Linked DNA regions of Oreochromis niloticus. The protein of the gene in region 2 binds, or shares a complex with, the protein of the main gene of each other region. Links are inferred from orthologs where the notes say so. Each region holds a gene or a part of one and is shown on either strand. Other genes may lie near its edges.

What was found.
Region 1: the proteins of hcrtr2 (region 2) and hcrt are in contact, whole or in part, in a cryo-EM structure (PDB 7L1U), measured with the Homo sapiens proteins. The link is inferred for Oreochromis niloticus from reciprocal best matches to the Homo sapiens genes HCRTR2 and HCRT. Residues at the interface, in NP_001371201.1 of Homo sapiens: Thr111, Val114, Trp120, Pro131, Gln134, Thr135, Val138, Gln187, Val209, Cys210, Asp211, Phe227, Thr231, Ile320, Ser321, Asn324, Lys327, Arg328, Phe333, Ala334, Thr336, Arg339, Val342, Tyr343, Phe346, His350, Tyr354; in NP_001515.1 of Homo sapiens: Asn89, His90, Ala91, Ala92, Gly93, Ile94, Leu95, Thr96, Met97.

What each region holds. Positions count from the first base shown.
Region 1 is NC_031969.2:26,556,863-26,572,525, reverse strand, and holds hcrt (hypocretin neuropeptide precursor precursor), read right to left. Parts: upstream 7,933-15,663; 5' UTR 7,904-7,932; coding exon 7,847-7,903; intron 7,071-7,846; coding exon 6,705-7,070; 3' UTR 6,527-6,704; downstream 1-6,526. Other genes in the region: kcnh4a (potassium voltage-gated channel subfamily H member 4a), read right to left, coding at 1-7, 133-264, 428-661, 4,583-4,658; plcl5 (inactive phospholipase C-like protein 2), read right to left, coding at 10,167-10,631, 13,609-13,718. UniProt on the Homo sapiens protein: Neuropeptides that play a significant role in the regulation of food intake and sleep-wakefulness, possibly by coordinating the complex behavioral and physiologic responses of these complementary homeostatic functions.
Region 2 is NC_031978.2:19,747,233-19,764,435, forward strand, and holds the start of hcrtr2 (orexin receptor type 2), read left to right. Parts: upstream 1-8,734; 5' UTR 8,735-8,944; coding exon 8,945-9,161; intron 9,162-17,203. UniProt on the Homo sapiens protein: Nonselective, high-affinity receptor for both orexin-A and orexin-B neuropeptides. Triggers an increase in cytoplasmic Ca(2+) levels in response to orexin-A binding.

The DNA.
Region 1 (15,663 bases), on a different chromosome or scaffold from region 2:
AACATTCCTGTAAGGAAAATAATATGCACTAAATAAAACTGTGTATAAATTATGCCAAAAATGCACATTAAATGACACAAAAAGAAGGTGCTTTTCATAAAAACTAAAGAAACGCAAGCAGCCAGGCCTCACCGTCTCTTTGAGTACAGCGATGTTTTTTTCCATGTGATTCGCTGACATCTTTGAAGGATAACAGGAACAGCACAACCTCACCTTTCTCATTTTTAATTGGTACAATATCCAGGAGGCACCGAAATGGATTTCCTGGGAGTATTAAAAATGTTATTACAGAAACATTACCCTGTCAGACAATTAATTCACCAAAATGATGATTAGAGCTCTAATACTGATGAAATAACAATATTTTTTTCTTGTTGCCAAGCTCAAGTCATTCTCGTTTGTGCCCCTGAGTGACTGTGATTCTCACCATTTTTCCTGTAAAAACAGACTTCTCCTTGGTACTCCTGCTGGCCTTCCAGGGCTTTGTCTACCTGCTGAATCACATTTTCACTGGTCTCAGCCCCGTGAAGGAAACGACACGTGCAGGTTTTCTGCATCACCTCTGTTCGAACAAAGCCGGTTAACTCACAAAAGCCATCGGAGCAGTAGACAATGGGGTATCCACAGCTCCCCTGAGTATTTCCCAGGAGGAAGTTACAGTCTGTGAGGAAAATGAAAAGATCGAAGGTCAGGTAAAGTTACTGTGGCTGGAGAAACAGAAATGGCAAACCGAACAGTAGGAAATTTTAAATGAGTAAGTGCATAGATGTAACCAAATTGCATAGCTGCAGTTCTGAAAGAAAACATTTAAATGTGCCAATTATTATATTTTTAATATAATTTTTTTAATACAAATTCTCTTAAAGCACAAAAAGTAACTTCTCCTATCTGCATCATTCTTTGTAGTTTGAGCTCAGAACCCTGAAGTTGGCAGTTATCTAGTGTACATCAAAGAGAGCTTTGAAGTTTGCTGCTGGTGAGCATTAAGTCCAAGAATATATGCCGGATGCCAGCTGGTCCTACGACCTCAGTGAGGCTCTGGTTCTGAAACATTTTCAATCATTGCACTGATGAATATTTCCTAAAATGTTTTATCTTGTTAACCAAAATGTACAATTAAATCTCGACCAAACTGTGCAGAATTGAGTTCACTTAAACTGATTGATTTCCTGGCATGAAGCTGGCACAATTATGAATGAAGTTTAGGTTAAAGTTTTTGTGAATGAGGGATGCTGTATAAAGTGCTTTGAGTGCTCTGGGAGCGCAGAAAAGTACTATATAAGAATCAGTCCATTGACAATGTGAATGGAAAACAGCCCCACAGTAAGATGCTGCCACCACTCTGCTTGACAGACTGTACATTACATCTTTACTCCACCAACAATAGCTCTTATCATTGTTGCCAAATAATTAATAATTAAATAACAGTGTAAGAATAGCTGTTTTTTTCTGTATCACCTGTTAAAATGGTGGAAAATAGAATAGCTTACCCAACTTGCCAAGTTCCTTAAGTTACAAACTGAAATATAGAAATAAATGGTTTGGGGTCATGCAGCTTAGACTCTATTGTAAAGGGACGCAACAACCAGATGTCTTCATCATTCAATGACTAATGGAAGTGTGCTTTCAGTTGTCCAACCCATCAATATTTAGACAACTAGACTGAGTACACTGACATGTCATCTTTTATTTGTTCATTCAAACACACTTTGATGCGAGGAAATTTAATTCCCCAAAAGTTCTTTGTTTGCTTATGTAGCAAAGCACTCCAATGATGATATAGCTGCAAGGACAACACCAAGCACCTGTACTGCGGCCAGATATAATGAGGCTGAAGCTTTGTGTTCTCTCTAAAGCTTGGAAAGTAAACAGAGACTGATAATAGCAGATTATTCAGATGCATGCTGTCATACGGTATTGTATTTGAAATGATTTTTCAACCACAAAATAATTGCCAGCATCACTAAAGGGTGCTAACAAAGTGTTGCCTCCAGAAGAACACATGTGCAATTAGTGAAGTTTTTTTTATTTTATTTTTTTTACCTGAAGTGTGTGCACTTAATCCCATAAGAAGCTAAATTAAGATCTTCCTGCGCCTATGTTGCCATGGCAATTTGTGCAGGAAAAAAATGGTAATGTTGCAACAGTACCCTCACTCTGATTTCTACAAAACACATTTAATAGATTTGACTAAGCCCACTTGCTCAAAGGGGACCTGCTACGATAATTTCCTGCACCACATTTGTATTTTGGGGCATTATTGGACTAGCTGTGCATGATTTACAGTTCAGATAACCTTAATTTATCTTATACTGGTGCAAGCCCACAGTTTAACCACTTTATGTAACAAGGCGTTTTTTGAGTGTCTTAAGCTACTCTGACTTTCTTTTGACTAGCCACCCCTCACAAACAAACGGTTTGAATAGCAGGTGGGTCAATGGTTAACACTGACAGTCATCAAACCTCAAAATGATGTGAATCACTGCAAAAACATTGTTAAAATGCAAGCATTTGTTGATTCAGATGCATTTATTATTCCTAACTATCCACATCAGCATGTGGGGAGGAGGAAACTGCAATTTCAGCACAAAAACAAACATATTTGGTAGAGTCCTTTTGTTTCTACAGGTTACAATGCACATATATCTAATGACTATTATCCTGAAAGCTTTAAAATTGGCCATTAACATAGGTACCCTGTATAATTTGTGAGTGACTAGGTGAAAAAGTAGAGTTTTCCTGCTTTCACAGGTTGACTGAACCACACCTCAAATTATATTTGATTGGCTCTTTGTCTCTTGCATATGCTGTAATTCATCTAAATTAATCTCTCTCCTCTCATGTCAGGATCATACTGCCTATATTCAGTCACCCTCACAGTATGTGATCCAAAAGCAGTTTTTCATAGAAACACTTTCAAATCAATTAACACATATTTTTCGACTATTCCTGGATTCCTGCGGCATTATGCTGAAGCCATCTCTTGTCAGTTGATCCTTTTACATCCTACTCAGTGACTTGATCAGTCCACCGACGCACGACTCTCATACAGAGGCACTGTTTGCTGCCCAGATCTGTGTAAATGCAATTCTATATCTGCTTTCTGCGGATGTGAAGGTGAGGGCAAAAAACCTCAGAGAACAGATGGAGAATTTTCAATGGCGAGAGAAACGTAACGTCTGACCTGTGCACCACTTTTCTTGTTTTCTGAAAATATATATATATTTTGTTGATGTATTTCTTTTTTTTTTTTTTGCACTAAATCTGATGTAGAGTAAAACTGACATGCTTGGATACTTGATGTAAGATGTAACTTTCCATGCCTGGTATGGTTCATATGTGTTTGTGTGGGTGTAACCAGGTGGATCTGCTCCATATGCCTAGGTAATAAGATTTTTGTTTCTGTGTATTAAGTGTTATAGTTTGAAAATATTGTTTAATTTCTTTGCTTCTAAAGCATAACAAGCAGGAAGAAAAGCCACTTATCACCCAGGAACAAGAAGAAAAAAAGTACAATATTCTATGTGCTATAAATTGTGTGGAGTGATACGGTTAATCTGCCTCTTCATCTGATGCTAGATTACACAAGACTGGAAAAATAATTGTGCTTTCTTACTAATCCAAGCACATGTAAATATTAGCTTTACATTGCATTAGTTTCGCATAATGAGCAAAAATCAAATCATTTCAAGTGCTTGATGCATAAGCTACATTTTAATTTGAAACTTTCATGGCTGTAATTAAATGCTAAAAAGTAATATGTTTTATTAGAGCTGGTCTTTAATCAGATTAATTATTCAGCAAAGTCTAGTGTTTAAATCCAATAGTGTTTTCACAGTTATTAGCATCATTCTGTAACTGCTGCACATAGTTATTTAATTAGCAACACAGTGCTGAGTCGGTCTTAGAATAAACAGTAGATTTTTCAGTAACTTTTTAAAAAGCTCATATATATTTTTTCTTCTTCTTTTTCGGTAGATTTCAAACTGAAAGAAAGATGCCAGACTTTAGCTCTACAACTTTAATGTTGCTCATGAATAATTTGATTTGACTGTTTTTTGTTGTTTGCTGTTGAGAAAGACCTTGACATTATTCTCAACAGGGAAATATTCTAACAAGTAACACGGCATCTCAACAAGTGGCTCTTCAGCTCCAACATATTTAATGGGATCTCACTACTGTTGGACATATTGATTGACAGCAGTGTTTATCAGTGCCTGTCACAGTCCTAAATTGGGTTACAGAAATGCCAAAGGCAAAAATCCTAAACGCAAGCTGGGAAAGCTTCATCTTTAAAATTGATACCAAACCGTTTGCAGGCAACATGTTTCATATATAAATGTATTATGTGCCATTTCTTTCAATATAAGTAATCCACATTTTAAGAAGAACACATACTGATCAAAATCTGCGGGCACTAGCAGTTTGACTTGTCCAACAATATCAGTCGCAGATTCCAAATACTTGGTCTGCAGGTTAATCGATGTACTATTCATGGATATTCATCAGAAATGTCATTATCAGCATTCTTTTAAAAAACCTGTATTAATTCAAAGTGATCCCCTCTCCCCAAAATACTTACGAGTTCCATCAAAGTGGTTGGCAATGGTGTCCAAGAAGGTATTTTGTGGAGCAAGGAGGCCCTTCATTACAGGCATCTTTCACCAGAAAAAAGGTTGCAGAGTCCCAGTTTCAAGTAGTTTGTCACCATTCCCTACAGAAGACCCGAATTAGACTTTCAACACTGCTTCTTGAGTTTGCTTGTAACTCTTCAGTGGAGTGGAAGTTTTATATATTCTATGTTGAGTGGATAAAACTACTGAAATGTATCACAGAGCTTTCCATTTCTTCTTTGAAGGAAAATTCAGAGGTTTGCCGTGCTAAAGCTCTAAAGCTTTTCTCAGCCTGAGTCAGAAGTATTCAGGTTCAGTTGTGCATCGCTCTGTGCTCAGCACTGCTCCAGTATCACAGCAAAGTCTCAGCTGCTCTTCAGTCAGTGTAACTCCACTCTCCATGAATCTTGCCATTGAGTCCCCAGTCTCTCTCGCTCCCTCCCTCCCCGTCTCTCTCGCTCCCTCTCTCTCATACAAAAGCTTGAACCATCCCCCGTTCTAGCCACTGAATTTATGAAATATCTCTTGCCTTCACTTTCTTTCTCACATAAAACCTTGCCTTCTCCCCAGAGAAGTTATTAGAAATAACTTTCCTTTTTCTTCCATCTCTTGCTTTCTCACACTCTCACCTCTATCTTTTGTGAAACTCCACAATGGGAGGCAGAAGAGGGTTTTCTGTTGCTTAGACTTCTCACTTAAATTACCAATCATTTTTCTGAGGTACAGCTGGATCCCGCGTTAATAACACAGAAAGGGAGGTGTGTGCACGTTTTGTTTGCTGTGGAAGAAAGCAACTGAATATCTTCTTTGGCATCTCTGGAAAGATTTTGTGTTTTTATCAGCCCTTCTTTTGACACATGAGGCTAGGTCAAGTTGAATAAAGCACAGCATCAAGCGATTCACGTTTTGGCTCAGTGTAATAACAGTCAATTTGCTGCTAGGCTTTTTGTTGATGTGCTTGAAGAATCTAACAGGCTGCTGTCTGTATCACCACCTCTATTTCACTTTTTATTTAGTCCCCATGCATCAACAAACACCCACGCAGATAGTTGCTGTAGAAGATGCAGTAAAAACCTATACACATAAACTGACCTCGAAATAACAGATTTCACTGGTTCTTTATGTTTCATCGTCACTTATTAGCATTTCCTCTCGACTCCATATGGTTGCATAAAGCTGTTGTGCACACAAATCCACTATATTAGTTCCGCATATAAATTCATACCCATGAAAATTTCTATTTTTAATCACAAACAGTTATGTTTTTGTTCGTTTTAATCAGAGGTACTTTCTGTTGGACAGATTTGAGATTTATATGCATCTGTGTCAGTTTGGCAGATGTAAAAAATTCTTTAAAAAGCCACCAGCCGGACTGAGTTTAAGTCAGGTGCCTGGCAATGATTGTGAGCATTACAGGGAGGCATGTGTCTGTTCCAATATTTCAAATTAGCAGACTATGCCTTGAATACCTGGTAAGGAAGCAGTTAAAACAAATAGTTTATGCTTTATGTTTTATTCTCCCTATAGCTACAGGGATCATATCTTTTCACCATACTACACTTAGATGAAGCAAAATTAAATTTAAGACACCTTGAAGCACCCTACATGCATGGTGGCTGTTTACCATTTACCTTGGGTGTGGCTGATGGATTGTGCTTATAGACTAACACAAAGGTTGTTTTTATATTTTGGCTGGATTCAGGCATTCATCTGTGATTTTCTAGTGGATAAATCTTATTATCTATTTTTAATCTCTGGGTGTCTTCCACAGTGTGCTTTTTATCTCGTATTCATCCCATCAACCAAGAAATGATCATTACTGTATGTGATGTCTATCAAATGCTTAACTTATTCCAGAATATAAAATTGAGTATTTGTCACGTTTGTATATAGTCATGAAAGTTAACAGTTGATCAGCTTTGATTCTTTTTTATTAGATCACAGACCCTTTTATGTACAATATAGAACATTTTTCCTAAAATTTGGACATCACATTCAAATTCACATTATTTCTGAGCAAAAAAATATACATTTGGTGTAAAGTGTGACTTTTTTCATTTAAACAGCGTCCCTGGTTTTACTCGATTAGTTTCAAACAGGCAGGGGTGTCATAATGGTCGTTCCAGATTGAGCCATCCAGTCCATGTACTGCTCCCCAGCTCTCTCTCTGGTTCTCTTCCCCATTGTCAGAATCCCTGCTGCTTGGTTCCTGGAGCCTTGTAGGAGCTGTTGGAGTCGGCTCTGAAAGCGATACTCGTCCTCTTTTCGTTTGCCCAGAGTGAGGATCCCAGCGGCCGCATCATCTGTGAGGACTCCACCCGGTCCCTTGTTGCCTGAGCGACACAGCAACACATAAAGGCGGCAGGGACGAGACGGTTCTCTGCAGCACTCAGACACGCTGTGAGCGTCACAGGCCAGCTGAGACAGTAGCAGCAGCAAGACCAATACCATGGCTTTCTGGTCATTAAAAGAAATTAGATTAAAAATATGATTTTTAGGATTAAAGAGGTATGATTATAAATAACAAAAAATACAGAGTGCATGAAGTACATGTAAATGTGAATTAATATGAAGTTGAATGGACAAATTCCAATGCATAATAAATATAAATCACTGAATTTATAATAAAATAATACTATCCATCTAAATCTATTATAAACAATGATAATAAACCCAAAGCACTAGTCAGTCAGTATCAACATGCCCATGCAACATGTTGGTAAGCTTAAATTTTAACCAACATTGCATTACGTACAATACAATACAAACAGCCCCCATTTAATGATAAAGCTTATAAGCCTGAACATATATGTATATAGCCAGGCATAATTTGTTATTTATCGTATATCATAGGTAAATTATTTCTATTCTTCTATTTATTTTAATCCCCTCACTCCTGGGTTACAGAAGAGAAGATGCTGTATAATAAATGTACATATATATTTATCATTGGAGCTTAGTGACATGATAAAACCACATTCAGTAGGAAATGGTCAGTGTTAAATATTTACAGTAAAATGCATTAAATTAAATTTATTCCTCCACTACACTTGAGAATTGAATAACTGATACCAAATATCCCAAATTGTTTTTCAGTAGGCTGCTTATACCTTTAGAGCACAAAGGGATGCTAATGTAGAAAAAGCAATTAAAAAGAACAAACAAAAAAATCAGCAAAGTAAAACCATGAAAATTTTAAACAAACAAACAAAAAAATGAAGCTGTCTTCTTACCCTGTTATTCATTTCCATCCCAGCAGCTTCTTGGAACTTAGTGGGGAACCACAACATCTGCTCTGTTGTCTGAAGGGAAGTCATCTGGTCCCAGGGGTCGAATGAGTGTCTTTTATATTGCCCTGTGCCGTCCATCCCATCAGTCCTCTGGACGTCATTTAGACCAGTGACAAACGTAGCACAAAACCACTGATTCTCTTTTTTTCTAGTCTTTGCTCATTTGAAGTTTGCTGTAAAGCTCGCTGCCATTAATTAGTGGCCTATCCCAGGTCATCTCCAAGACGCCTGAGTGGACCTTTGATGCACTGCAGGTATGTTTTTGTGGCTGCATGCTAAAGGTTTATTAAGACATACCATTACAATGACTGGTGAGGGGCTGAAGTCAATTAGCAAATATATATATATTTAAAAAACGGATGCCCTTTCTCTGCTCTAATGACAAGTTCATTCAAAGGCTATGCTAATGAGGATGCATGGACTTTTCTCTCTCATAGTGAAAGCACTTCACAAGTAAAGACCTAGAAAAAGACTTCCGGTAGGGTGTCAGGCATGTCAGGCACATCTGTGCACAAATGATCTGCTTTACAAATCAGGGACAAATTTGCAGTAAAAATAACAAGATAACAACTCTTAAAAGCAAATATTGAACGCTTGATTGTTTTTATCCCCACAACCATTTACTTAATGTTTGTTGCCATCTTATGGACAACAGGAAGCAGTGCTATCTCATTCATGATAAACTAAATGGCTTAAATCTATTTTAGTAATAAGGGAATCATTTAAGATCGATTGAGAATTGACTATGCATTACAGTGCACTTTTGTAAAGCTATATTGATTGTTGCTTTTAAATGGCTAGGTCTCTTTAAAAAAAATAAAAGCAGTGGCACCGTGTGTGAACCCTGCACAGTAAAAACCTTTTTTTTAAAAAAAAATATCAGTTTAAAAATCTAAATAAAATTGCAAAGAGCATCCATTTACATCCATTTATCCCAGTTCATTTGTACATATAGCTACTTGAATGATTATTAAATAGTAATGAACAAGAGGAGACAGGAGAAACAATGAAGCCAGTTTTAATGGGCCACTTAAGAGATCTCTTACAGAATCCACACTCACTTTGAAGTGAAACACGTCAGGTTATTGTTCGACTGTTGTGTTGTGGTGCTAACCCCTAAACCTTTCATTCCAATGGCACATGCACTGGTTGGCTTGATCTGCACCACAGAACAACAGGTGTCAAATCACTGTGTATGTGGAAGTAATGTTAAAAAATACTTAGAATATCAATAAAACTAACAACAGTTATAATAATATCAATCATGAATGTCCGAGAATTATTATAGCAATATATGTTCCCTTCATACACTTTGCATACATTTTACATCTATAGTCACTTTATTCTTATAGACAGCAGTATCATGTTCCTGATGATCTTTGACCTCTAACGGGAGGGGTCAAATATTCCAGTTGTGACTGACTGGTGAACTCCGCCACTTAAGGACGTGCTCCATCCTAGGGACCAGGACATCAACTCACATAACATCATATACGTAGCCCCTAGGAAGGAGACAAAAAGATTGTGTGGGGAGTGTCCAAGAATGCCGGAGAACTTAAACCCTAAGAGAAATGACACTAGAGATCTGAGGGGCCTGATGAAGACTGACACCAGCAATAATACATCAGGGTGATTTTTTTTTTCTATTTTAGCACTATAGCTGCTTATTTTGTGCTGAAATGGCCATTTGTGACCCCTACAGACTAGCAGAGCTGCTCTACTTTGTGCCACTAAATTAAAATGGCCTCCTCTTCATCATCAAAATAAGTGAGGGTTTCCTGTATGTCTTAGTTGTGGGAGGGAAAGTGTGAATGTGAAGAAATAAACACTTGAAGACATGCCAAGGAGTCTCTGAAAATAAAAAAGGCAAATTTGTGGCATTAAATGCCAAAGTGAGGTAAAGCCTGTACCCACAGAGCTAGAGTACATCGTGGAGGGGCTTGAAAATAGCAGTGCCCAGAGAGAGACAGGGATATGTAACTCACTGATGTTTTCAGCCGTTATCCTTCTGCTTTTCACTTCTAGCTGAAGTGTAGTATCTCTCTTCTCTTTCATATCTCTGGCCAACTCAAATCACCTCTCAAACTTGCGTCTCGCTTCTAACACGACGAGGCTTCCTCCTCATCATCATCTCTTTTAATTTCTCAGCAACTTCTTCCATCTCTCTTTCTTTACTGACCTCTTGCTTTCTTTCTACACCTTTCTGCTTCTCTGTCTCACTGTCTCTCTTTGGGACGGATTCTCTGTGGGCACAGGCAGCGGGTCAGCAGGATCCCGCAGGACTGTCACTGACAGTCTCTTTTTCTTTCTCGGGGATGGTGTCGAGAGGTACTGCTGCCCTCTGCTGCTGGTTTTGGAACTGAAACTGGTGCTGGGGTAGCGGTGGCGGTTGAGGGTAGGCAGGTGGTTTTGGAACAGGTGGGGCCAGAGGAGGAGCCGATAGCTGGGGATGCAGCTGGGGATATTGCTGGGGATGCGGGTGCAGATAAGCCTGAGGTGCGGTCTGAGACTGGAGCTGATTTTGGGGTTGGCACAGCAGTGGAGGCGTTGGGTGGGTCTTGGCCTGAGGCTGCTGCTGTGTCTGCTGCGGCTGGTGGTGAGGATGGTGCTGAAGCTGTGGGGAAGCTGCTCCATTTTTACTGAGGCCACAGGACTGAGCTGCACAGTGGATCTGACGCAGAGTGTCCAGTGCCTCACTCTTTGCGTGCTTTAGCAGGTCAGCCTGGCCCTAAGAATTAGACACAGAAGAAGAGGCAGAAAGAAACATTTGTTAATATCACTGAACTATATAAAATTTAAATGCATTCAAACAGCATTCCCTAAAGGCTACTTATACTAACTCTATTTTAAATAACACCATCAATGCAATTTCCTTTTATCCCTCTTCTTTGTTTTTTAGAAAACAGATTTTAATCTCTAAACGACCACTATCTGCATGACTTTTTAGTGAGAAGAAAGTAAAGGTGCTTATATTATTGCTTATTGTTAATGTATTACTCAAAAAGATGCAGAAGGGGGCAGTATGAAGCCAATGAACAAAGGCCTTTGGTTTCTTGCCAGCCCTTTGTACTGTTCCTCTCAGCTTGCAAGTACTGCTGGCATATGGTGGCAATGTTATACTACATTTCTGCTCTTTATTTGAACACCCCAGAGATGAAACCCTGCCATATGTGGAGGAAGTGGTCAGGGCAGGCATCCTGCGCTACGGCACTGTCAAGTCAATCTGGGCCACTGCCATGGCTGCCTCCCTCCTTAAGCTAGCTGTCTCTGCCATGTGGAAATGTGGTGGAGTTTTCTCCACAGGCAGTTATTTCTGTGTGTAAGAGGTGCTTATATTATTAGAACTGTCCAAAGGAGATGAAAAAAAAGGGAGAAAGACCACACGCTTCAGACAAACTCCCTCCACTTGAACAATCTAATTTCTCGACCCTCAGGGTTTACTCTCGCCAGATTCCTCCAGCATGTCCACTTCAACATCTGCTCACAAGAAAGTTGAAAGCAATTTTCCTTTTATCTGCGAATCTGCATATTTTACCTCCCTCGCACTGAACTTCGGTCTGCCTGACCTGCTGCGACAGCTTGCTGGGCTAACCTCCTTGTGAAGAGACACAGTCTGACCTGTTGTGGACCAGACTAAAATATAAACGGCGAAAGGGATAAAGTTCTTAGTGCCACAAGGCAGGTACAGCGGTATGACATACTGGGGTAAGACTAAAGGTGATGCCCTGCAGACGATGGCCTGCGATCTACTCGTTGGTGATGTTAATACACTGCAAGTGGCATTTTAGCTCAACCAATACAGCACGCAAACCGGGAGTATGAGCATGTCATATGTTTGGAATAAAAAAAGAAGAAGAAGGAGGAAAAAAAAGAAATTATGTAAGTCATGACTCACCAGGCATAAAATAAGGCAGCAAGAAGCTTATCCTGTGCTGCCTGAGTCAAATAACGGCTACACTTGTCTTTGAATGCATTCACCCCTACAGCTGGCCTAACGTTGTCCGCAGGGGGCTAAGCTCATGTAAGGACAGCTACTAAATCCCACAACTATATCCTCATTAAATTCTAAACCAGTGTCCTTTTTGTTTATCAGAAACGGACCACTCCTTTGAGAGAAATTGAGTAGTCGATAACCTGCCTCTAGGTATTATTTTACATTTATAGACATCCATGGGAAGTTAGAAGAGACAGCAGAGTATAAGCATCATTGGAACATATAGATTGAGTCAGTTCTTATATTAAGGATTAACCATAACAACAAGACATCTGCGAGAATTTGATTTAATCACATATAAAAGGGTTAGAGTTACATTGGCTTCACACAGAAAAGACTGAAGAGGCCAAAATCTGAGTGAATTTAAGAGGAGGTTATTTAATTATATGTAACTGCCCAAGAAAACAGATTATAACACTAGAAAGTACAAACATGAGCGATTTGGGAGACATCTTTTTTCAATCCCTGTTATTCTTCTAAAAAGGACAGCAATGTGGCTGACATTTGCTTCAAAGGATCTCTTTCTGTCTCTTTGATTTTTCTTCTTTCTTGACTAACTGGAACAATAAGTGGCAGAAATGGGCAAATACCCTCATTCACCGTGACAGCCCCGAACTGACCGAAACTGTCAAAGTAAGGGTGGAGATGGAGCTAGAGACGAACACTGACAAACAGATAGGACATGACTCTTCCCTCGCCTTTCCTCTCAGCGTCCCACACTTCCATCTCTAACGACTAGCGAGTACTTCCTGGCCTGCTGAGAATCTGGAGAGGCTGACAGGTGAAATAATAACTGGGTACGGCTGCCAGCCTTGGCAAACAAGCACCAAGCTCTCACCAAATGTTCACTATGAGACGCAGATTACAACTGAAGAATGGGAAGAGGACAAGAAGGAGTTATGTGTGTGCCACCTTGTTGTTGAAAGGGTGGCTCATCACAGGAGAACAGACGAAACGGGGGGGAGACTGCGATCGGAAAAATAAGGTGTGTGAATGTGGTTAGTGCTGGGATAGATTCTGGACAGCTGGTCTAGCTAAAGGAAGCAAGGGCGTAAATTGCACCATAGATGGGTGGAGGACATCATTTTAACCCTAACAGCAATGCAACCCCCTTTTTGTTGTTTTCCATCTGGCAAGACTGGCATGAAAAGGAGAAGACATCTATCTATCCTAATGCTCAAGCCACTCTGTCTGTACTTAGCATGTGGCGTTATTTTAGCGTTGCTATTACCGGCAGCAGTCGTAGAGGAAATGAGATGAGAGCATTGAGCAGCCTTATCTCCTGTGTCAAGGGGCAGGCAAAGACAAGAATGCATCATCATCAAGGCATGTCTAGGGGATCCAGTGTCTCCTTATGAGGAATAACAGAGCAGCATATGTGTGTCTATAAACAAGCGCGAACAATCCTATCGTGTCTTGTCAAGATAGTTACACGACCAAATAAATAAAATGGTACTTGGACTCAACAGTAATTAATTAAGAGGTTTAGGGATTAGAGAAGAGGGAAATACAATTAGCCCAGTGAGCTTTCTTAAGACATTATGTTATTTAATCTCAGCAACATGGTCTCAGATTGCTTGTCCAGTTGGGTACAGTCCCCAAAGTAATCTCAAATGCACATTAATCACTTTTAATAGCTGTACTTTATACAAATGGGGGGTTTAGATTAATTATTAGGCTTGTTGCTGTGTTGTAGGAGGGGTTCACTAACCTTCAGCACAGTGATGTTCCAAGCGTAGCTCTCCATAGCCTTCTGCAGTTTACGTCCTTTCAGACCCTCCTTTGCTCCAATGCGATGCAGGTCCTCATGGAAGTCCAAACCTGGACAAACACACAGGCAGGCGTGCCATGTAAATAAAAGCAAAACATATTAAAGTGGAAAAAATACAATGCAAAAAACACTTTTAGGCATAGTCTACATTGGAGTATTTGTTTTACAATGTTTAGTAGAAGAAATTTCATACAAGAGTAAATAACCTCATGTATGCAGACCAAGGAAAATAACTACATTTTGCAATTTTGCAAAAATCACCATGAAACAAAATATGCCCGCTGAGAAGTTTTAGGTAAAGTGTCTTGCAGTGTACAAAACTCTGCCATAAATGCATTAATGCATATTAGTCCAGATCTGTTATGCATATAAATTCACAGACATTATAAAATCCAATGACATACTGTAATATAACCATCTTTTAGTAGATTTTATTGTTTGTTCTTGTACCCACAACCAAGTTGGAGCACTACAGTTGGATTTTAGCATGCAGTGTGTTGTGTTGCTATGGCTGTCTAAACTGAGGTCATATGAAGCAGGCTAAACTCTAATTAATCTATCAGTGCTTCCTGCTTCATTTAGCCCAGGCAGACCGTAACTAATCCCCCGGGCTTTAAGAGCAAACTCCTCCTAAACCTAAGGCTCAGCCTGCTTGTCAGTCTGTCCCTGACAAGTGACCTTATGGTTCTTCAGCTTCGATTTACTGCAAAAACAATGATGAAACATAATACACTACAATTCACAAGAAGCCCGTCACCTCAAGTCATTCCTTCTTTAGTCTTTGAACATTTCCAGGTGGCAGGTACTGCAACAAACCTCTTTTCAGGAACATTCTTTAGTTGAACTGGTGGAGAGTAGGAGACTTACTGTACTGTCAGCAAGTACCAGAGCCGTATAATATCGAAACACTGTTTTGTTAGGGTTTTTTGTTTTGTTTTGTTTTAATATTCAACAAAACACCCCAAATTTGTGCTGGGAAAGTATGAGATGCCATCTTGGTTTTGTAATGTAGCTACATTGTTCCCATTTGACAAACGGTTTGTGTTATCATCTTCAGAGTGCATCCTTGAAGCACAGAAACATGCAAGGGGTATAGAGGCCTCTCATTTTGTAAGAAGAAAAATGAGACTATGTTGACTTTATGAAGTCAAGATAAAAAAAAAATTAAAATTAAAAATAAAAACAAAATGACACAATCACCAGTTTTCAGGGCATACCAGGCTGAACCAGCACAGATGCGCTATAATTTCCAAACTTGATGGTGATGTACAACCAATGCAGAATATCTGTTTCAGAGCCTGAAAGTTCTGCTAACAGGGATTAGGACTGATTTGATCTCGTAATCTGTTGTAGTTAATGGGCTCAGAGAGGAGCCAAGGAAGTTTGTGTTCACAGGACACGAGGAGTTAGGATGGCAGGGAGCGGAGTAAGTCATGAATTTAGCAAATTAGCTAGAGGAGGCAATACAGCTCTTGAAGCATTTAATTTGGCATTATGAAGCTTTCCCTTCCCCTAACAGTCTTGATGTTGCTGTTCCTTAGTGTCACTTAAACTATGTGAAATTTGAGCTAATAAAAATGTGGCCCTGTAGCACACTCTGAAGAGATTGAATTTTACGTTGAGAGAGAGAGACAGGGAGAGTCGGGTCCTAAGGAGGACTTAGGGAATAATATATCTCTTCTGAGTAGCCAAACAAATGCAAACATATCACACACACACACCTCAGTAGAGTAAAGAGCAGAGAGGGTTTTTGCCTTTGTAACAAGTACTGCAGCACCTCTTCTGCTTCAAAAACATACAGTGGCTTCAGGCAGAGAGACAGAAAGGTAAGTAAATAATAAAATCAAACAGAACCTTCAAACAGGATCTGATGAAAAGAAATAATGAATAAAAAGATAGGAAATGCTCTGAGTGGGGAATGCATGACAGTCAGCTCAGTGTTTCATTAATTTATCTCTATTCATACACACTGGAAAGCCCAACACAATGCCATGA
Region 2 (17,203 bases):
TATTCTGGTGTCCTCCCACAGTTAAAAGTCATGCAGTTATTAGAGTTAGCTTAGGTTGATTGGTGATTCTAAATTCACCGTGAATGCAAATGGTTGTTTGTCTCTATGTGATTGACTGGTGAGCTGTCCAGTTTGTACCCTACCTTGTAACCTAGGCCCCTGCAACCAGGATAAAGATAGGATGTTAGTTCTTGTAGATCCATTCAACTTTTATGTTAACCAGACTCTAGACTTTGTTGAACATTATGTAATATAAAGACAACATGTAGTATTTAAGTGATCAAGTAGTACTGTGGTAAAGGTTATTGAATAGTGTTGAAATAAAATGACAAAATTTTGAAGGATTAAAATATTCCAAGAGCTCAGTTTACTTAATCTAAACATGTTTCAATCACTTTTTATGAACACAAAATGCACAGGTTTATTGACTATGAATAAGTTGTGTTGATTTAACTCAGTTGTTTAAGTTTCTGCCAAAGCAAAACATTTGTGTGCAACCAATGTCCACTATTGAATCAAGTAAATCCAACATGGCCTTTTTTTCAGTGTAGAGACAAACAACCATTTGCATTCACATTCACGGGTACTTTAGAATCACCAATTAACTTAGCTCTAATAACTGCATGACTTTTAACTGTGGGAGGAAATCAGAATACCCAGAGAGAACCCACTGCAAACTAGCCAGATTGTGGATTTGAACCCAGGACCTTCTTGCTGAGAGGCGAGTTACAAGTTAGACTTTTTTAAATGTAACAACCACCCAATATCTTTTTATCGGTATACCGAAGAAAGTAGAGGCGGCTGTTTGACTTGACTGAGATGGATGCCTTCCTCAAACCACGATCCAAAGTGTGCGAGATGAAATCATGTGCGGTGTCGCGAGATTTAACATTGCTATATTATTGACTTACTTCACTCGAACATGATATGAACAATTTAATATACCCTCTCTGCATATCATGTAGTTTCTACACTATATAGTTACACTTAACTTTAAAGCATTAGGCAATTGTGTTGAATACACGCAAGATGCTTACATAAATCCAAGAGATGGCCAATCCCTTTGTTTCAGTGGGGCGCTGATGAATACAGGAACAGATGTAATATTTGGGACAATATTCCTGCAAAGTGTCGTTCGGATTCACCCTGCAATTAAGGAGGAAAAAGGGTGACATACATGTACAGACATACATCTATTATCATTATATTATAATTATAGTAAAATATTTTTATTATCATTCCACAGACTTTATGCAAAAGATGGCTGCAGCTACCATGGTGTCAGTCATGGGTTTCTGTCTCCCATTTTAAAACTTTTGGCCATTTCCATCTTGTTTTTTAAGATGTTTTTTAAGGTGTGAACCTGAAGTCAAGAAAAAACGAAAGTCACAAGGTTGACCCCTCCTTTACTGTCTGTTTTCCGCTTAAAAGCACAACAATTTACTAAATGAGTTTCATGATTTAGTAAATGTCACATGGAACAAAGAACTGAGACAAAAAAAGAAGAATAGTCATCAAAGTAATTATTGAAGTCATGAGTTATGTGAGAAGTAGGGTAATTTTCTCTTAATGTTTTTTTGCAATCATCACTTCCTAGAAGAAATGCAGCTTTAGCTTTTTAAACCCCCAGCCTCTGTCCATTCTTTATATACAGTCTGTGTGTGGTATTTAGTTGTCAGTTCATACTGAATGAGACTATAGGCTGTGTCATATATCGGCCATTAATCAGCAACAGTGGGGATTTATTGCACCCACAGCCATTATATGAGGTGGAGACATTAATGAGAAAAGCAGGCAAGGTAATATAAAATGGTAATGCATAACTAAGAGTAACACAACAGGAATAAAGGTCCTGCTGAAATGAGTTTAGTCAAAGCCCACTAAGATATACTGTATAAAATTACATTTATAATTCTAAGAACCATTCAAGAACAAAAGAGCTTAGAGTCAGTTTAGCAGAAATTGTAGTAAATCTAAAATTTACATCCACCCAGAAAAATCCAATACGGGTCTAAATTTTAATCTCTGCCATCTCTTCCCTAAGAGTACCCAGACGTTGAGACATGCTCATACATGCATAGAAAGTTGAATGTTGCGAAAGGGATTTGGCAGATATAATCAGAACCAACCAAACCTGCAAATCATGACAAAGGGGGGAATTTTTTTTTTAAAAAAACAACAGACGATGAGTTCTGCATTGATGTCATTTCTCAGTATTTACTGGAATCCTGATTATGGATCGTTTTTAATATCTCTGCAGGGAGATACGTTGTAATGTATTTTCACTCCATACTATTCGATAAATGTTGAGATAATAACAAAAATCAGAAACATTTAAGGTCATATAAATAAAAAAAGCGCTTAGATTCTGTATTTTCAATTAAAGAACAGGCTGCCGTGGATTATTGTATTGCACATTAGGGATTTTTGGTTAACTGAATTGGGATTCAGAGCCTGAGGTTGGCATTTTAACAAAAAATTGGATAACATGCTGCTTAGTTGTGATTATTATTTAACGCTGGACTTTATCTGATTAGCGGAGCACCAAAGGCAGAATATCTGATTCATTTTTTATTTCTTTACAGTTAGGATACTTTAGCAAGAGCTCAATTTCAATACTGAATGAGTATAGATCCTGGGTGTTATAAATTTTATGAGCGTGAGCTTCAGTCACATATTTGGTGAGCAACAACCAACATATAAACTCAAAAAACATGGCAAGAATAAAAAAGAGAACCTTAGAAATATTTTTGTTTAAACTGACTCGACTGATACTTTACACCCATTTTACAATACAGTGTGTGAGGTTTAACATTAGGTACTCGTTACCAAAACGTTTCATTAAACAAGGCCTTTAACTAGAGATTGAGACCAATATCTCATTTGGAAAGTGTTTGCTGAAACCAAATAGAGAGTGAGCAGTAGCGCCTAGATGTCTTTACAAACTGAGAAGCCTCCTGCTGGCAACAAGAAGCAATGAATGTTTAAAGCACTTAAATGCATCAGGACTAAAGAAACTACACATGATCACTGAGCAGTATTTTACATGTTTCACATGTGTTTGTATTGAAAGATGTGCCATTTCACAATTGCTCATATCAGCTTTTTAAGCAAAAAGAACATTTTTTCACTATTATAATTTGATGTTGTGCCTGGATTCTGCTGGTTTGGGGGTTACAACTTCTAATATTCCTGTTACTGCTATTGATTTTACCTTTGACATCTTTCATCCCCTGGTACTGCTCAGTTTTCTCGTGCTTCTTCTTTATGATGTGATAAATGCGGCAATCCCAGCTGATGGAAAATCAAAAGGAATTTCTCTGATGTGTGGCTGATTTGCTGTCAGCCAGGATTCCCACATCTATAACCACTGCAGTCTTCTGCTGCTTGTCAGCCACCACTGTGTTTGGTTGGTTGGCCAGGAGCTGCATGTCTGTCTGGAAGTTAAGGTCCCACAGCACCTTAGCCTCTTTGTTTTCAATCACCTTAGCTGTTGTCTCCCATCTGGAATTGGAGCCTTCTAATCCATATGTGGCACGGATGTTTCTGTATACTATCCCAGCTGCTTAGTTGTGCATCTCTGTGTACGCTGTCCCATCTTGCTTCTTGCATCCTGCTACTATGAGCTGGACTGTATCCAGGGCACATTTTTGTACTGCCTTCAACCTGAGTCCTGATGGCTATGGTAGATTCCTACCCCTGTGGATTTGGTGCTTAGGATCTTGTGCTTGCATGATCAAAACATCTTTCCTGTCCTTTTGGTCAGCCTTTTCGAGCATTTGGGAGTATTTCTCAATGTCAGCCACTTCCTCCGTCTGTCAATAGCACATTAAATGCAGGGTCTTGGTCTTGCACCACACTTCCTCCTTTTGTTTCTTATCACCATCTGTCTTCAGCTGCCTGAGGCACTCTTGTAGCACCTCATCTCAAAGGGGCCATCTCCCTAATGTATTCTCATAGCTCTGACACCCACTAGTCCCCCTTTTCCACTTTTTGTGGCTCAGAGCCATGAGGTGGAAACATCCATGCAAACATCTGCATTGTGAGGAACTTTCATGTTTTGACATCCATGGCATTGATTTCCTCCTTTGGCCTCTTGCTATTCCAGCTGGGTATCTGATGACCAGTGAGGCCTATGTATTGATTGCTTAAATCTTATTCATGCTGTTGATTTGACTTTTCAGCTCCCATTTCACTCTGTGGGAGTAACTGGCTATGGCTGACCTTTTGCAGCTTCATCATTGTTCCCATTAGACTTTGGAATACCAAGGTGCTTGTAGCTGTTTTTTTCAATAATCTGCCAATATATATATGTACACTCTCTCCAGTATACATATAAAGCATTTTTATATACAGTATATAAATAGAATAACAAATGATACAGATAGTTTGTTTCATATTGCACATATTGCAAGAATAAAAGACTGGTGATTTTTTAAACAGCTCAGTGTTGTCAGGTGTCTAAATGAAGACAAAAACCTAGCTGAGCTGATCGATACAAACAAAAGATTGATCTATTACTCTCAAACATGAAAATGAAAGCCGACTTTGACAGCAGCTCACTCCTACATGACACAAAATTAATGGATCAGACTCATGATTTCATAGCTGCTGCCTACTCATTACTGCAAATAATCTTCTTATATTTGAGTGCAAATATCATCATTTTGTCTACAGTCTTAGGTGAGCCCACTGAAGAGAAGCTTACCTCCATTGTGTTTGACATTGTTTTGCTGGAGGCTTGGTTCCTAAAATAATGAGTTCTGCTTCTATGTTCTGAGAGTAAATTGGGCTCAGAGAAAACAATCTACTTTCACTGATGACACCTGAAACATATAGCATTAATTTAATAGAAAAAGGCAGCTTTGAAAAAGTGCGTGGTATTCCCCTGTTATAGACCTTGACACCCACTCAAAGTGACATGAACCCCAGGAGTTATTTCTGAACTTTTATGTGGAATGCATAGCATACACGCTCAGAAATTTGGAAACAGTAAAAGTCTATTTCTGGTTTTATGGTTACAATCTTTTTGAATGCACCCCCTGGGGCTAATCTTGGGCTTCCAGATTTTAAGATGCAATATGAAAAAACTGCTTGTTTTTGGCTAAATGCAAAAGATTTTAGGCCAAATACATATTTTCGTTTAAGGTTTTATGGATTATTGACATTAAATGAAAAACAACTGTCATTCTCCATCTGTCTTATATATATGTATTTAAAGGAGCAGAGCACTGCCACCTCACATCAAGAAAGAACTGGGTCTGAAGATGTCTGCAGCCTTTGTTCTCTCTGTGCCTGCAACATTTTCTCCAGGTTTTCTCCTTCAAAGGTCCAAGGACATGTAGGTTAATTGCTGATTGTTAGCTGTGAGTGGAGAAAAAGACTACAAAAGTCAATTTCCAGGTTAACAAATGAATATTGTGAAATATATATATATATATATATATATATATATGTATATATATATATATATATATATATATATACATATATATATATATATATATATATATATATATATACATATATACATATATATATGTATAATTTGAATGAGCTGGGTTTTTTGTTTTTTGTTTTTTACATCACAGGGTACTCCTGCAGTGCCACACAGTTGTAGCAAGCAGCTGCTATTTTTTTTTCTGAGAGTTTATTATGGATCAGATGTTTTTCCTCTATATTATTCTTTGGGTATCAGCCATCACATCTCCATAATTGCATTAAAGTGGAAGATAAACATGAAAGGGTCTGCAAATTGGTGTGACACTGATACTTTGCCCATTTTGTCACAATAAACAAATTATGCACATTAGCAGCTATAATAAATTGACCTCACAGTAGGCCAACACACCTCTCAACATTTTGAGAAATGTAGATCACTTTAATGTGCGTATGCTAAATCCAAGGTCATGTCCAACAAGCAATTAGCCTAGCTTTATACAAAGCAGGGGCAAACATGCTGTTAAAATATACCAGGAGGTAAGTCTTAAAACAGTTTGGTATTTTCAGAAATACACTCATTTGCTTTTCTTAATGGCGCAGATTTCATAAGAGAAGACACCTCTGGAATCAGCAAGGCATTTTCACCCAGAGAACTACTGCTCATCGGCTATTTTCTCTTTTTTCTTTAAAACCCTTGAAATGGTTTTGAGGGAAAATCCTGAAAACCAACAGTTTCTGAAAAACTCAGACCAGCATGTGTGGCACCAACAACTACCCCACATTCAAGTCCCTTGAATCTGATGCTCAGTTTGAACCTCAACATCTCATCTTAAGCATGTTGTAGCAAAAGACCCGACACACACAGGATTGACAAACCCATTGCTTGGGAAATGTTTATTTTGCTTGTTCAGCCGTTTCTTTTGCATTACAACACATAGATAGAAGTGACTCAGGAAGCAGCTCCTTCTGCAGCTACTCCACTCACACTCGCTCTCCCACGCGTCTCCGATATGGGGGAGAGAGAGCGTGCGTCAACAGTCACCTGCACATACACCTCTGTCCTCTGTCACCTTGACGCCGCCCCGAGAGCTCACTGTACCACCCCTCCTCTGCTGCAGGCAAGAGACCACACCCCTGCCACACATGTCTATGTGCCTAAGTGCACTGAGTTGCTGCCATGTGATTGGCTCATTAGATAGTGTTGTTAACAAGCAGCTAAACAGGTGTAAGCTATAGTGAGCAGTCAGTTAGTCTAGCATTAAGACAGGAAACATGGTGTGGGGTGACAACTAGTCTACCACTTCTAATGATTATAGCTGAGCACTTGTATGTTTGTCCTTCCTCTTGTTCTTGAACATGTTCTTTTTGCTTTACTTTATGTTATCAAGAGTGAAGTCTTGAGAAAGGACACATAAGTGTCTGACCTTCAGGATAAGGAAGCATAGTTGTAATGACTCAGTTCATGGCTGCACTAAACAAAAAACTCTTTGATAAATCTCCACTTTGTGTCACATTAATGCAGTAAAAACGACTAATGAGGCATATGTAACACGAGTCTTCTCTGACATACAAGAGACAGTCACACAATGCAATAAACAAGGCAAATTTCAGCGTAAAGAAAAAAACCCTGCTGTGCCTTAATAATAAAATCACAGTCAGAAAAGTCAATACCTGGATGCTCTCTGGAAAAGCTAATGGACAATGACAATGACTGGGGTAGAAACATAAATATAAATCAATTTGCTACAAAAAAAATATAGATGACTCGTGTTGCTGAATAGACCGATGTCTCCTAAAAGGTTTTAGCAATAACATTGACTGCAACAACAATTTAAAATTAATTATTTCACGTGCCACCTTCAAAATAATGTCAATAACACATTCATAAAATTATTAGCAGTACCTCAATCAATGGCACTTTTGAGGTACATTGAGGGACCTAAAATAACTGGACACTAATGATTTTACACCACAGTGGATGGCTGAACTGAAATTGAAATTTTCACATCCACCGAGAATCTCAGCTGACACTGGCTAAGAAGCATATAAAATGGACAGGCTGCTGGTTCACATGGCTAACAGACAGACAGATAACCGTTTATATTCACACCCACTTAGAGCAAAATTTCAGTTAATCTTAGATATATTTAAACTGCAAGAAAAAAAACTGATCACTCTGACAGGGAAACAAAACAGGGACAGGGAGATGATGCAAGGAGCCAACCAGAACTCAGTAGTGGGTAGAGTCGTGTAACAATGTCCCCATGGGACAGTTTGCTTCACAGGCAGTAGTCCAATAGAATGTATACGTGCATACATGCACACATACATACATAAAGCACATTTTACAAAACGTAATCCTGGATTCAAATGTATTATGATGCCAACATAAACCATGAGGAAGAGGGTTTAATTTAAAAAAAAAAAAAAGACATATAGAAGATGCTGAGGCTTTTATAAGAACCTTATGTCATCAAGGGTACTGGAGCTTCCTGTAAGGCAGCCGTGTTAAGCACTGCTCCACCATGATACTCACATCTTTAATTCAAATGTACCATTTAATTCATTTTTAACTTCTCAGCAGGAGTTCGTGCAGTTGTGCTCTCACTGCCTTGCAGATTTAATCTGGCCTATTCATTTTGAATGGAATCATGATTTCCATACCGTCATCATAACAGCATATTTTGCTCAGAACTGCTGCCTAAACAAACCCAATGACAGTATGCAGCATATGCTCACAAAAACACCCCTGAGATGCTGAGATGATGTTCAGATTTATGATTTGTTCACACTAGAGCTGTTCACAGCTTGTGACAAAGAGAAATAAGACTAAATATGTACAAATAAGGAGTCTTAATGACATAACAACAGCAGTTTATATTGTTGTTGGTGGTGGTTTTTTAAATAAGAATTCAAAAACAATTCCCTGATAAATTGGTACACAGTCTGAGTCTTGTCTTACAATTCAGTCATTATCTTCACACAGTCACAACAATTTGCTCAAGCACTACAGGAGCCAGTTAAACCAGTTAGTTTAAAAGAAGTGCACCGTTGGATTAAGGGGGTTAACCGTGTCAGTGAATTGGTCTCAAGTCATCCGTCCACTGTGCCCTCCTTTATATGCTTGTAATTGAGTTTCGCACAGAATTAAAAGCAGATTACGCTACTGCATGTTAAATCACCCCATTCATTTCTAACATCTTGTTCATCCACCATGTCCCTCCCCGCATAAATGCCCGAACACCCCCTTTCTCTACATTTTTATGGGGGTGGGCATTCGGGTTGAAGCTCAGAGCTCGTTGCTCGCTACAATGTGCTGTGTTGGTGTTTGACCCTGCAGTGGCTTTGAATGGAGACAGAGGGGAGACCAGCGTCATTCTGACGAGTGGTCCGTGCGGAGCGCGTTTAGAATCGCGTTTGCAGTGTGCTCAAACAACCTGCGGTCACTGCAGACGCACCAGCAACAGCTGCAGTTCATCCGCCACACAAGACACCTGGAAGCATGTCTGGCATCACTGGGAACGTGGACTGCGAGGAGTGCTTATCTTCTGGACATTTACCCAACAGCACGGAGTTACATGTGCATCCCACCTTGGATGATGACGAGGAACTTCTGAGATACATTTGGAGAGAGTATTTACACCCCAAGCAGTATGAATGGGTTCTCATTGTGGCTTACATTATTGTATTCTTCGTTTCACTCATTGGGAACTCGCTTGGTGAGTCGTACCTTTAAATGCATTCATTTTTCTCTCCCTCCGTTCATCTTAACAACTTGCAAAAATCATAAAGCAAAAGTACACTTCGAACAACTTTTTTTCCCCACCTCTCCATAATATCAGCGCAAATATTACTAGAAGTATGAGAAAAATCTGAATGAAGAGCGATCAATAACTAAAGAAGCGCATTCCCCCCCCTCTGTGATGTTCACTAATCGCAGTCGCGCCTCTGCTGATGTGGAAGCATCAATGAGGAGGAGAGCCCGTCAATCAGTGCAGGAAAGTGAGGTTAATTTTGGAAAATCGGTAACCTTCCGATTTCTTTGAAGATACATCGAGCACAAATAAATCATTTCACACCGTGCATGTGCGTAACTTGCAAGTTTTGCAGACCTATTGCCTGCGAAATTCCATTATTGGACTGCTTTGTTGCTGGTGTATTTTCTCAATGGTTTAACAGCAGGGGCAGTTTTACTATTTAACAAAGAGAAGCCAGACTGACCTGTAGCTCTGTGTTTTTTATTGTGAAATTTCTTATCGGGCTGCTACCACATATTTGAGAACCTCCTTCTTTGTGTCAGTGTGGGAGTCTTAGTTATGCTCTACTGAAGCTCTATTGTCACAGTCACTAAAATAACCTGCTCTTTTGCGGCTTGCACTTTGATCTGTTTCAACTTTGAAAGCTGTCTTTGTGCAGGTTTGTGTTCTGTATCTCATCTCAGGGATCCCACTAGCTATTTTTAGACTTTTTTTGGTAACAAGGAAAAGGGCCCCTGACATAGATGCAGCTGTGCACTGCAGAATTGCACTCCAGCTTGGAAGGCTGAAGGTGTGCCACATTATCTGTCATTTTAGGCAGCTTGTACCAGTCTAATAATTTGTATGGTATTTCAGCGAGGAAGACAGCATTCACCCTCTTGCCATCTTCATTATCCTTAATGCAACACCCACTCCCCAGACAGTGGATGACATTTTGAAATGGGCCACTGTAAATGCTGTCCAAGAGAATTTTGTAGATGCTTTCAGAAAACAGCTTTCCACCCTTGCGCAGAGTCTACTTCCACTTTTATGTTTTCAGTCTCACAATAGAATGAACAGACCGACTGAAAATGATACATGAGTGGATAAGTTACGATTCCAGAAATCAGACAGGCCAGCTATTCACAATCTAATGTTCAACAGTTTCATATTAAACATGTTAAGTGAAATAAGCAGGGTTATCATTTGCTTTTTAAAGCTCAGATTACAAAAATATGTGCTTTATAGTACTGATTTACTAATAATACCTGGTTGCTGATGTAATCAATGTTTTAGTAAATACTTCATAAATGACACAGAAGTCATTTAAGAAACAAATTAGTCATTTTGTTTATGAGTAAAATTTGCATTTCTTTGCTGAACAGAGCAGTCGAGGACATTGGAGGGGTCCCTGTGTGTTTAATCAGTATGGCCATGAGTTTCAAAGCCAGAGATGACAGGTTCTCATTATAACTGTCAGTGTTAGATGAGTAAGCACAGCGCGAATCTTTTAAATCATCGCAGCTTCTCTTTCTTTGTTTCCTGCTCTGTGTGCTGTTTTCTCTTGATGCTTGCTGTAGTTTTACTTGCTATGAACAGCAGGAAGTGACAATAGAGGTGTCACCCCTGCCTGGAGAATTTCTTCCTTAGACAGAAGTGAAGAGTGAGATTTTATAAAATCAGCATTTATGGTTGCATTTTTTTCCCTATAAGGGAAAAGGAATCCAGTGGATTTTTTGCTAGAGCTGAAAGTATTTGTTCTCATAGTAAATGGCCTTGCTGCTGTAATGGATTCAGGCACACCTTGTACAGTAGATACTCAATTTAAAACTTTAGTCTTCCTTTTCGTAGAGGGTCTTTCAGTGTAATCCTCTTTAACATACCTTTCCTGCTGCTGTAAGTAGAAATTTTGATTCATCAAATCGCTGCCTGTATGAAAGGAGTGATTTGAAGATCTTATAACTTCACTGTTCACAGACGATGTTAGCGACCACCTGGCGAGCATAACATTAAGCAGCTAAAGCAGGGGTCTGCAACCTTTAACACCCAAAGAGCCACTTGGACCGTGTGTGAAAAGTGGTCAATAAAGAGATGCTGAAAAGCATGTTCATGCAAACATCGTCGGGTCTGCTGTGATATGTTTACAATGAGACTTCTGGTCCCAAACCTCGGCGCACAGCGTCTGCAAATCGGGGCTTTCATCTTTACGCAGGACTGTAAGCTGTCATCTGTGAGGCGGGAGCAGTGTTTGTTTTTAACATAGTTCACGGTGGAGAACATCTGCCGACATAATGTGGATCCGAAGATCCATAATTGGGCTATCTGGGGTTGAAAGTCTCGATAAATGCACGGCGTTTCCGCGAGTGTGACGCTTATTTTGAGCGATGAAAAAAATAATAAGATATAATTTTATTTTTATATTTCAAAATCACAATAATCTTCCAATTTAGAACTACAAGTTAAAAAAAAGAACTAAACACAAATAAAGTACACTTCAGCGAAATACTTCTTCTATTTTCCCAAACCACCCGGAGCCGCAAAATAAGGACTAAAGAGCCGCATGCGGCTCCGGAGCCGCGGGTTGCCGACCCCTGAGCTAAAGCATCAGATATTTCCCTCAGAGAGTTGGCAGACACTGAACATGGAGTAAAAAGTAATGAGAAACCACAAATAAATCTGCTCTGTATGTGACGGATGTGTAACTACAAGAAGCCTTTTGCTAAAATGTTTGCAACATTATTATTTTTTTAAACCTTGGACACAGTGTTTACACCTTGTGTTCAAGACGCTCAAGTTGCCCAAAAATTCAGTTGATAGGGATTTAACTAAGATTCTGCTACAGGAAGCCACCATCCTGTGCCATCCCAATTTTACGTCAAAGGCACTGCAACATTAACTAAAATTCCAACTGATAATGGGGGGGGGAGGGGATTCTTATTAGATCACTGGAAACATTAGGGCTAATTACCCTGCTCAACTTCTTGTTAACACAACAATCCAATGAGGCAATCATATGGCAGCAACTCAGTGCATTTAAGCATGTTGACACGGTCAAGAAGACCTACTGAAGTTCAAACCGAGCTTCAGAATGGGGAAGAAGGGTAATTTAAGTGGCTTTGAATGTGACACATGGTTGTTTTTGCCAGAAGGACTGGTTTGAATATTTCAGAAACTGCTGATCTACTGGGCAGAAAACCATCAGAGGTCAGAGGAAAATGAGCAGAATGCCTTGGGATGATAGAAAGGTAACATAAACTCAAATTCTTTAGAACCAAGGTATACTGAACTGGATCGCTAAACACATAAGATCTCAAACCTTGTATTCTGGTGCTGGGCTACAGCAGCTGAATACCACACTGGGCGCCACTCCTGTCAGCAAGGAACGGGAAACTGAGGCTGTGATTCACACAGGCTCACCTAGATTAGACAATAGAAGACTGGAAAAATGTTGCCTGCTCTGATGAGTCATAATTTCTGCTTCAGCATTCAGATGGTGAGAATTTAGCATGAGCAACATGAAACAACATGATCCTGTCTTGAATCACTGGATCAGGCTACTGGTGGTGTAATTGTGCGAGGGATATTATCGTGACACACTTTGGGCCCCTTAGTACCAAATGAGTATAGTTTAAACACCACAGCTTACCTGAGCATTGTTATGACCTCAGTATACCCATCTTTTAATGGCTGCTTCCAGCAGGATAAAGCACATTGCCACAAAGCTCAAATCCCACTCAAACTGGTTTCTTAAACATGACAGTGAGCTCACTGTACTCAAATGGCCTCCACAGTCACCCGAGCTCAGTCCAGCAGGGATAAGGTAGAAGGAGAGCTTCACATCATGGATGTGAGGCCAAAGAATTTCCAGTAACTTTAATGCTACCATGTCAATATGGATCAAAATCTCCAAGAAATGCTTCCAGCACCTTGTTGAATCTATGCCATGAAGAAATAAAACAGTTCTTTCCAACTCCAAAGCTACCAAGGTCTACCTAGCAAAGCGTCAAGTGAGTGTAGACTATGTGACTAGTGATACAGCCAATTAATCACACTTTAATCATCTCCAATTTATTTCATTGTAACAATTTTTTCATGTGAACCCCTCAGTCCTCCTCAGTCTGCCTTCAGTTGGTCTTAACTGGTCCATGCTTTTTCTTTAAATCCACAGATGACGAAGCTTTTGAACATTTAGTGCATAAACTTTGGAATGGCACTTCCTCACTCATTAGGTCAACCAAATCAATAGTCTGCTTTTAAATGTGTGCTGAAAACACATTTTTATAGATTAGATTTTCTTTTAAACACTACTTGTCTTCATTTTTCGGTGATGTGCCCTATAAAGGGCAGCGGGTATATTATTTGCCATCAGCCAGAAGCATATATCAGAAGCAGATGCAGGCTTTTTTTTGCCTTTAGTGATAAACTTAAACTTATTATGACTGCACTGAGAGGAGAAATCTTTGAAGTAGGCATGCACATCTGCTGCTGTGGCAGACACCCACAGGCAGCAGCAGGGGTGGCTGTGGGAGGTAGAGTGAATCGTCTACTAATCGGAAGGTCGGGGATTCAATCCCCGGATCCTGTAGTCTGCATGTTGAAGCATCCTTGGGCAAGATGCTGAAACCCAAGGTTCCCCTTATGCTGATCCACTGCAGTATGAGTGTGTGTGTAAATGTTAGACAAAGAATGAAAGTGCTGTATAAATAGCGCTGTGTGACTGGGTGAACGAGTGCACAGTAACAGTAGAAAAGCACCATTCAGTGTCCCAATCCATTGGCTATTTAGCATACCTTCTAAAATTACTAATTATTTCCTCAACTGCAATAGGTTCATCTCTGGACCTACAGTAGGTTCATTCTTTTTTCTCTGTGTGTGTGTGTGCCAACATCTCAGATCTGACTCACTTACTAAAGAGATAACCTCCTTTGGAAAATCAATCAGCATATTTTATACACTAACTTGAACCACACAATGCTGTGTACTTGTATAATAAATCATACTGTTATGTAAAAAGTAGAGCAGCAAATGTCCTGTGAAACAGTGCTATCTTCTGTGTGATGCTCTGATCAGTAAATGCTTGGTGAAAGTTCAAACAAGAATTTAAACATGCACGTTAAATTTTACAGGACTATTTGGCATTTATAAGTCTTTTTTGTTTAAGAATAATTGATCACAAGCTCTTCAAAAAAAGCAGTCCTGCATACTCTCCTAATCAAATCACAAGATTACAGGCCTTTTAATAGAAAATGGAGATAAAAAGTATTTTCAAGGTGATTTGAAACTGTTAATATAAAAATTATTTATTATCTTAAATCATCTAAAGGTCTTTTGTTCCTACACAACAGTTTAGGTTTGGCTATAACAACAGTAGAAACTGTTTGAACTAAACTTACCACACAGAGCCTGCAACAAGTCAACTCTATAATCGTACACAGTAAGAACAGGCTATCCAACTGAAACAAGGAAGTATTGTGTTTTTCTGATCAACTCTTGTCCAATATTTAATAGCTTTTAGCAGTACATTGTTTGTCAGTTCCACCTGAGTGATTCTGTCTTGCTAAAAAAGCCCCTCATTATCTTTGTGCAGCTTCTATGCACTTATTATCTACCTGTGAGTTTCTGCAAGTAGGTTACTGGGAGTTTTCAGGACAAACATTATCAGCTGGTTGGATTATGCTGATATTTATAAATCTATGGTATAATGTCCATTCAGTCCTTTTTATAGCTCCCAGGCATCACAGCATTATAGTGGTAGTTATGTTAATTTTGATTTAAAAAAAAACTTAATTGGGCTGTCAACTGGATCATTTGTTCTCATTCTAAATACTTATATAAAAAGAATCACAAAGAATTCACAGTTCAGGTTAATGTTTTTTAACCTCATCAAAGGGAAGCCTGCGAATCCTCAACACAACACTCAGTTCTTGTAACCTTGCTGTGTTGCAGCTAAACTAAATAATAGTTCTAGGATTTGTTTTTGATCTGTTGTTTGTAGTTTATTTATTTCTTACCTCACCTCGGCTCCAGTCTAGTTTGAATCCAGCAAATCCCAAACCAGGTGCCGGTCCTTTAGGACTCTTTTTATCGTCATGGTCCTGGGGGGATGTCAGGGGGAGTTTTGTCTGATGTTTGAAGGATGTTTTGATTGTAAGCAATTGTAAAGCAGGCCCACTCTCTTAATTAAATTAAATTTGTTTTCCCACTGTTTCCTTATTGTTGTCTTTTAAATGAGGGACTGAGCGCTGCTGTAAGTTAATTTTGTGCTCAGTATTTAATTTCCTGAAGTGGGAGGTGCTTCTGACTATGCAGACATGAGTTTTAGTGCCTCTCGAGTAATTTTATATTAGGTTGTTTTATTGAGCAGGCCATAGTAGGTATATTGACAGGGGCGCTATTGAAATGGGGAAAAGCCTGGTGCAAAGCTGTTTCCTCAGTTTTTAGTTTTTATTATCTTTAAGATGGAGATTCTAAATAAATTCTACATGTATTTTTCCACAACTTCAATTCATTTTCTTAGCTTTGTTTTTTTTTTATTTTGTCCAAATGCAGTAAATAGGGTACACCAACCCACTGCTCTGAAGAAAACGGGAATAAAAAAGAAGATGGCACCACTGAAAGAGCCTTTTATTTTTGCATCCACCACTCACTCAGCCATCGCTCACAAACCCCATAAACAGGTTTTTGTTTTGTAGAAATGCACTGATTGACTGGCCTGGGACCAGAATTGGCTGATTTTTTAGCATGGACTGGTGACAATAAACGTAATGAACTTCGTAAATCACCCTCCCCGTCTCTGTTATTTTATTATGCTTTGTGATATGTTGCAGCTGGTGAATCAGATCAGGAGGAAAACCAAAGCCATGAATTTTCTTTGGGTTATTTTTTGCAGGGCTACTTATGACCACTGAAAAATGAAATGGGAAAGCAGTGGCTCACATATTTGCTACTACAATTATTTAGGCAGTAGCATAGTTTTGGATTTTTTTAAATGATTTTTTTCCATTTTTGTAATCACTCACCTCTATGAGCTCATCCTCAGCTCCTCATCAGGATCAGTATAATATTAATTTCTATGGACAGAAATTCTGTGCATATCCAGGTGATGGAGCGTCTCCACATCAGTCTTATCTCTGCTTTTTGTAGAAGATACGGTTCCTTTGGTTTCATTGGGCATTGACCTCCAGCTCACTCAGGGGTGGTTCACAGCTGAGTGTGAAATGCAAGGAATGAGAATTAGCACTTCCGAGTCCGAGGCCATGGCTCTCGGGTGAAAAAGAATAGAGTGCACACTGCACTCCACCTTTTTCAGGGCTGACTCACTGATGAGTGCTTTTTGAGGAGGAGTTAACATATTTTAAGAAACTGTAGCAGGAGACTGACAGATAAAGTGGTGCAGTGTCTGCAGTGATGTGGATGGTGTGCTGATGTGTTGTGCTGAAGAGAAAGCTAAGCATGTAGGCATTACAGTAGATTTGACGGTTTAACTATGTTCCTACCTTCACCTATGACCATGAAGTGTGGGAATTCAAAATCAAATCAAAATCAAAACAAGTAGCTGAAATGAGGGTGGCTTTGCTCAATCTTAGTAATAGGATGAGAAGCTCAGTTATTCAGGAGGGACTAAGAATAGAGCCACTACTCCTTCACATTGAAAGGAAACAATCAGTAAGGGTTTTTGACCAAGATGTTTCCAGGACACCTCCATTCTGTGGCCGACCAGGACACATTCTAACTTTTGACTGGCTTGAGAATTCCTCAGTGTCCCCCTAGATGAGCCGGAGGAGGTGGTGAGGATGAGAGTTTAGTAATAAATAAAAAGTGGTGCATAAACACATATAGAGTGAAAAGAAACAGGTGAAGAAGAAACGCTCAGCTCATCTGTGGAAGCTACAAGAGGCCGAGCCCTATTGCAGCGTAACTAAGGAAGGTTTCAGAGTCACCTGATACAGACCTATCTATAAGCTTTATCCAAAAGGAAAATTTTAAGCCTGATATTAAAAGTAGGAAGGGTATTTGTCTCCTGA